2 linked regions of the Mus musculus genome follow. The protein of the gene in region 1 interacts with the protein of each later gene in a pairwise test. Links are inferred from orthologs where the notes say so. Each region holds a gene or a part of one and is shown in the gene's direction. Other genes may lie near its edges.

Region 1 (4,593 bases):
TGAAAGAGCAGGATACTTGACACTGTCCTCTGGCCTCCAACAGCACAGTAGTATGCATCTACCCTGGCCCATGTGCATATACCACACACATAATAACCTCTCTTGGAAGATTTGGGCTTGCTAGATGGAGCTGAAGTTTCTTCTTGTTTTTGTTTGTTTTCGGAACAGGGTTTCTCTGTATAGTTCTGGCTGTCCCTGGAACTCACCCTGTAGACCAGGCTGGCCTTAAACTCAGAAATCCAACTGCTTCTGCCTCCCAAATGCTGGGACTAAAGGCGTGCGCCACCACTGCCCAGCCAGAAGTTTCTTTTTTAATACTTTTTTGAGAGAGGGACTCACTTATAGCCAGTAATCCACTATGTAGACCAGGCTGGACTCAAACTCAGAGATCTATCTGCCTTTGCTTCCCAGGTTCAGGGATTGAAGTCATGTGCCACCACACCCATCTTATTTTTATATTGTGTGATTGTTTAAGTGCACCATGGCCATACCTAGTCCCAGCAGAGACTAGATGAGGGCTAGGGCTGGAGTTACAGAGGGTTGTGAGCTGCCACATAGGTGCTAGGAATCAATCCTGGATCCCCTGGAAGAGCAGTCAGTGCTCTTAACCACCAAGCCATCTCTCCAGCCCCTCCACCCCTTTTTTTGTCTTTGAGATAGGCTGGAACTCAACTATGTAGACCAGGCTTGCCTCTGCCTCCCCAGTGCTGAGATTAAATACACGAACAACACTTCCAGCCCCATTCTTGCAACATTTTAAATGTAACTTCGACCCCCACTGTTCTAGTTTCATTTCTGTTGCTGTGATAAAATGCCCTAGCTAAAAGCAGTTTAGAGAAGTAAGGGTTCGTTTTAGTTTACGACAACAGAGTATGGTCTCTCATAGGGACGTTCAGGCAACTGTCTGGAAATAGAAGTGAAGCACAAAGCAGGTTCTCTTCATTACCCCACTATCACATCAAATATTTCATTTTACTTTATTTAGAAGATCTAGGCAATGCCCAGGCCGGGCTAGAACTCAAGCTTCTGCCTCTGCCAGTTGCGCGCTAGGATCACAGGCTTGTACCTCTACGCCTAACACAGCAGATTCATGTTTTTTTCCTTTTCTTCTTTGGTTTTTCCAAACAGGGCTTCTCTGCCTAGCCCTCGCCATCCTGGAACTTGCGCTGTACACCGGGCTAGGCTGGGGTTGAAGGCGTAGCCATCATGTCCGACTATCAGATGAAATTTCCGAGGCGCCTGCGCGCATACAGCTTGCTCTTAAACAAAATACATTAACTAATGAGAGACGAACCAGCGTGAAGCTCTAAATCGAGCCCACGCCCTGCAGATGCGGACGAACGAGGACCTACGGGCAGGCCCGCCTCTCGTGGATCTTCATTCACCAGCACCCCGCCTCAACTTTACCCTCAGCCTAGCTCGCCTTCTCTCCACTTCCGCTTCCGGCCTCTTGGGCGCGGCTTCTGCACGTCAGAGGCGAGGCTTCCGGCCTCCGGGGCGGGGCTTCCGGCCGTCACTGGAGGCCGGCAGAAAGCTGAAGCTGCTGCATCGCGGGGACCGTGGGGCGTGCCATGGCGGTGAACCTGAGCCGGAACGGGCCGGCGCTGCAGGAGGCCTACGTGCGCGTAGTCACCGAGAAATCCCCGACCGACTGGTAGGCAGCAAGGCGGGGCCGGAGAGGCGCCAGAGCGGGAAGGTGGAGGTCGCGGCGTAGCCGTAGTATTGCAGGATCACCTGTCCACCTTCCTGAAGCCTAGCGAGATGCTACCCCACCCTCGCCACCGCCGTCCCCCCGGCGAGTACCCCCGGGCCTCTCCCCTGCCACCTAGTGGTCGGTCGGCTCTGCCCTGAAGATCTCTGCCTGGTTGTGCTTTCTGCTTTCCGCCAGGCTCTGCGTTTCTGGGACCTCACTGGACAAAGGGGTCCCGCGCAGTTCCCCAACTCCCTGGAAGGCGGAAACCACGTCTTCTAAACCCTGAGTTCAGGAAGAGACCTTGAAAGCGGCGTGAGCAGTGGGTTGAGGTCATGAGCTCACACAGGGCTCAGTCAAGGATGTCACAGGTCTGGGTCCCTGATTCTGGGACTGAAAATGGGATCCTGTCACCTGTTTGAGAAAAGGCTCCATCCTTCCTTCACCACCCCAGGAGCCATTACAGTACTGTGAACTAGATCTGAAGTTTCTGGAGTGGCCCTGCTGAGCCCTCTTAGGTTTCTGCTACATGCATACCAGTCTATAGTAATTCTCTTTCACTTTCCGTTTACTTAACATGCTTCCGTTAGCCAGTTTTTAGTGCTTCAGTTTCTCAGACATCTGATGAGTATGGCAGGTGGACAAATTCTGGGGAACACAAACTGGACTTTGGAGTTCTGGTGGGGCCACCACTACCCTGTGGTCAGCACTGAGGGGCGCTATACTGAGTTTGCCTGTGTTGAGTCTTCCCTGGAGACTTCCCCTATTGCAGAACTCTGGCCAATCATCTCTTCTGTTCTACTGTGTTGTCTCTCCTCTTTATCTTTTGGCCCTCTAGTCGTCTCAGAACCATCACTGTTTGGGGAATACCTCACAACCTAGCTAGCAGTGCCCTTCACCCATGCTTATAACTCTTCACTGACCTTGCTTGCTTTGCTTGCTTGCTTGCTTTTGAGACTGTGTAGCTCTGGCTGGCCTGGAACTCACTGTGTAGACCAGGTTGGCCACGATCTCACCTGTGTCTGTCTCCCGAGCACACATTGAGCCTCCTACTAGAATCATCTGCTCCACCTTGGTCTGACATTGTCCTGCCTCATCCACCCATTGTTCCTTCTGAGGGTGCAGATCTTGCTCTTTCCCCATACACTGTTCATCTGCCCCAGCAGCCATGCTACTGCCCAGCTTCCTACAGTACTGTATGCAGACGGTGCTGCCACTCCAGTTGAACGAGCCTCTGGCCTCCACCCTCACTGTCACAGCCATTTCAGTAGTCACTCAGCAAGATTTTTGTGGCAGGTCCCCACTCGCTAGCTGAGAGAATATCTGGGCCATCTTAACTTCCCTGCCCATAAATGCAGTGTCTTCCTGTTGCACTTTAGTAAAGCCCAGACTCTTACCCTGTCTGCCCTGGTTCCTGTTGCCCCTCCTGCTTACTACTCTGGCCACACCTGTTGACCACCCTTGTACCAAAGTCTTTCTCTTCCTCAAAACTGCAAGCTAGTTCCTCATCAAACAGAACCTCTGATCTTGCTGCTTCCCCTGCATGGAACATACATATACATCATCTTGATTGCTTCTTGTCCTTTATGTCTCTATGCTAGGGTTGTCTTCTCAGAGAGTCCTCCTAAATTCCTAGTACATGGGCCACATGCATGCCTTCAGAGGCCAGAAAAGACTGTGGAGTTCCCTGAGACTAAAGTGATAGTCACTTTGTCCTCTCTCCTAGTTTCATTTCTTTGTGATACAAATAAGAAACATGCTGGGAACCCTCATGGACTCTGTGTGTGTGTGTGTGTGTGTGTGTGTGTGTGTGTGTGTGTGTGTGTGTTTGTGTGTGTGTGTGTGCTTTTTCTCTTCCCTAACATGGTCAGGTAGACCCTTGTGCCTAGCTGTCATATGTTTTGATGGATGGATTAAGCCATGCAGAAAAAGAGACTGTCAAAAAGAGGTAGTCTTCAATTTGGTAGCCAAAAAAGGTCACACACACAGAGCTGGTACCGTGACACTGTAGACCAGAGCCATAGCTTTAGTTTCTCTCATCTATAATCTAGCTTCAGCCTCCTCCCTGAAGAGCCTGGCATGACCTGTGCTTATCTGGTTCCTATTACACTCTGTGTACACTGTACATTAGCATCAGGTGTAGGGAAGTTAAGCTCCATGGGTCGGACCTTTTAGGAATTGTTCATAGCTGCAGTCCAGTCAGCATACACGTACCAGGCGTTGTTCACACTGATTTAAAAGAAGAGGTGAGAGTTCTATTGAAGGTAAGAAAAAAAATCTCTGAACTGGAAATTTTATTTGGGGCGATATGTGTATTGTGCATGTGTGCGTGTTCATGTGCAGATGCACTCACAGGACACACAGGTGCAAGGCGCCAGTAGATGGAAAAAAAGCCACTGGACAACTATCCATTAGAGCCTTGGTGGCTCTGTGGTCTTCACTGGAACTCAGTGTTGTCATTGTCTACTTTCTGTTGCTATATCTGCCTGGTAAAGTGCATGTTTGCAGGAGAATCTCAAGACAGGAAGCCCTGCTGTCTACCCTCAGGCTATGAAGGCAGGGCTGATACCCACCCAGGAGTCCCCAGTGCACCTTTCTCCCTCCTGCTTCTACGTTAGGTGTTTGGATTCAGGAATATGAAGACATCTTTTGCCTTTTGAAATTTATGTGCCTGAAAGCCAGCTGAGTGTTTTATTCACTAGTGTGTAGAAAGAACACATAACCCTCCCACTTTTATCCTCCCCTAAGTATATGTTCATATGTCCTTCCCCAGTCCCAGTGGCTTTCTTTCTTTTTTTTTTGTTTTTTTTTTTTTTGTTTTGTTTTTCGAGACAAAGTTTCTCTGTGTAGCCCTGGCTGTCCTGGAACTCACTTTGTAGACCAGGCTGGCCTCAAACTCAGAA
Region 2 (2,599 bases), on another chromosome or scaffold:
CTTGTAGGTTTTGGTCGTGTGGGATGAATCTTCTAACAAAGTGAGGAATTATCGCATCTTTGAAAAGGTGGGAAACTGGGCTCTGAGGGTGGGGTAGGGATACTGGCTTCAAGGCTTAGCCAGAGCTAAGCGAGTCCCCCTGACAGTGGGAAACTGGACTGGTCCCTCCTTAACATTAGCCCTCCCCTTGTCCTTTGCCCTCCGTCTCTTCTCCATGGTCTCAGCCTTCTTCCTCTCCTAACCTTGCTTTATCATTAGCTTACTCTAGAAGTACTGGGTAGCCGCCCTTGGTTTTATTCACAGACCCTGCCCTGAGAGCAGTTCTCACATTGGACCCTTGAGGCTAAGGAGAGAGGGTACTAACTGAAAACCTCAAGGACACAGGCCTGATGTGTGTGGACAGACAGGGAGGGAACATGGGCAGCTAGCAGCAAGCCTGACTATCAGTGCCATCGTTACTGCTGACCTTTCCCTTTAAAAAGCTGGGGGAAGGGCTGGTGAGATGGCTCAGTGGGTAAGAGCACCCAACTGCTCTTCTGAAGGTCCTGAGTTCAAGTCCCAGCAACCACATGGTGGCTCACAACCATCCGTAAGGAGATCTGATGCCTTCTTCCTGTGTGTCTGAAGACAGCTGTAGTGTACTTACATATAATAAATAAATAAATCTTAAAAACAAAAAAACAAACCACTGGGGGAAGAGGTGAGGGGATCTAGGCAGTGGGTTACTCAGTCCCTGCTGGACCTGCTTCCTTTCTTCCTGCAGGATTCTAAGTTCTACCTGGAAGGTGAGGTTCTGTTTGCCAGTGTGGGCAGCATGGTGGAGCACTACCACACCCATGTGCTGCCCAGCCATCAGAGCCTGTTGCTGCGGCACCCATACGGCTACGCTGGGCCCAGGTGACATCCATTCCACACAGCTGTTGGGTGGAAGCAGCCCCGGAGCCACAGCTCTGCCACAAAGATGGAGACCAGCTGCATGGGAAGATGAACAGGAATGGGCTTGACATCAGACCTCATCGACATGACACCTAGCCGCAGTGAGCAGGCTGGGTTCCAGCTGGAGCAGGCCACAACTACTAAAGGAGTGGCTGGATGACTTGGCCCATCCAGCCATTCCATGACCCATCTCTCAAGAACCCAGGTCTGGTGACTAAGTGCTGCCTGGGCTTCGAGGGCACATGATCAGGTCGCTATAGCATACCTACTCTGTAGTGGGCTGGGACCAAGCAAGGCTGGGTTACTTGAAGCCTTGTCCTAGGACCCATAGGAATGCTAAGACATAGGAATGCTCTAGGAGGGACCATTGCCTCTCAATAAATCAGAGATGACCTTTGTCTCAATGACCAGGGTTTGATTGGCACAGAGTGGGTAGCAGGCTCTACTGAGCACCACCAATGTCCAGGTAGAGAGCTACTGAGAGCAGCCCTAATGTGTGGTCTTTAGTGTTCAGGGCACAGGCTGCTGAGTGACCTCACTGGAAGAGATAGCTAAATAATGGATCAGGATCCACCTGGATCTGTCAATCTTGGCTGGAGCCTCAATTTGAAAGCCCCAATTAGCAATTATTGAGCGACTATGTAACTGGCCTGGTACTGGGGCTGGTTGCTGGCTGTGAGCAGCCCCTAGTCCAGCTTGGTCAAGCTTACTCTAGAGCAGGTCAGTGAGTATCAGGTGCTGCTGGAGGTGCTGTGGTCTGGGAAGCCACATGGGGGATCTGGGAGCTTGGAATCCAGTGTGTGTGGGGGCAGGGAAGGGGTGGGAGGTCGGGGAGGTTCCAGTAAGACTTCTTACAGATGACCTGGCCAGAGTGAAGTGGGACAGGCCAAGGATGGGTGGGGACAGTGGCATCCACGTACCCCCAAGTAGTTTGGTGATCCCAATTGGTCCAGGCCACACCCCTGGCACAGCCGTCTAGACTGGACTTTTTCTGTGAAAATAAATTCATTTGGAGGTCAGGGCAGCCAGAGACCTTGGCACTATCTGATTTCATTGCACTTTATGTTAGAAAATAAAGTTTCTTTTTAAATTTTATTATTTTTATGCATATGAGTGTCTTGACTGCATGTATGTCTGTATATCATGTGTATGTACCTTGTGCCCAGGGGCATACAGAAGAGGGTGTCGGATCTCCTGGGATTGGAGTCATGAATGGTGGATGCTGGGAATCAAACCAGGGTTCTCTGGAAGAGCAGCCAGAGCTCTTTAACTGCTGAGCCATCTCTCCAGCCCTAGAGGAGAGGTGTTTACATAGAACCTAGAGCAAAAATTGGAGTTGTGCTCAGTAGCCAGGGACTGCTGTCTAGTAAGGGGAGCTTTGGTTTGCGATGTTCCACCAATTCCTGTATTTTGGAAGCATCAAATTTGTCAATGTGGGAGGCTCTGTCCCCCAGGCATCATGGGGTGTAGTGAATGACAGACATTGGATTCCAGTGGCCATCTGCTTCCAGGAACCAGAGTTCATCTCTGCAGATGTTTCTTATCAGCCTACCAGGGAGAAGAATCAGGATGCCAGGGACAAGTTTAGGGTATATGAAACTTTTGGTATTTTGAACAATCCCTTGAGGGGCAATCATTTTTTCCTCCCTTCCTAGACTAAACC

Evidence for each region.
Region 2: the proteins of Dbnl (region 1) and Sh3bp2 interact in binary tests that used the Homo sapiens proteins (3 or more experiments, as listed by UniProt). The link is inferred for Mus musculus from reciprocal best matches to the Homo sapiens genes DBNL and SH3BP2.

Annotation. Positions count from the first base shown.
Region 1 is NC_000077.6:5,786,989-5,791,581, forward strand, and holds the start of Dbnl (drebrin-like protein), read left to right. Parts: upstream 1-1,494; 5' UTR 1,495-1,571; coding exon 1,572-1,654; intron 1,655-4,593. UniProt on the Homo sapiens protein: Adapter protein that binds F-actin and DNM1, and thereby plays a role in receptor-mediated endocytosis.
Region 2 is NC_000071.6:34,561,596-34,564,194, forward strand, and holds the end of Sh3bp2 (SH3 domain-binding protein 2), read left to right. Parts: intron 1-7; coding exon 8-67; intron 68-763; coding exon 764-901; 3' UTR 902-2,044; downstream 2,045-2,599. UniProt on the Homo sapiens protein: Binds differentially to the SH3 domains of certain proteins of signal transduction pathways. Binds to phosphatidylinositols; linking the hemopoietic tyrosine kinase fes to the cytoplasmic membrane in a phosphorylation dependent mechanism.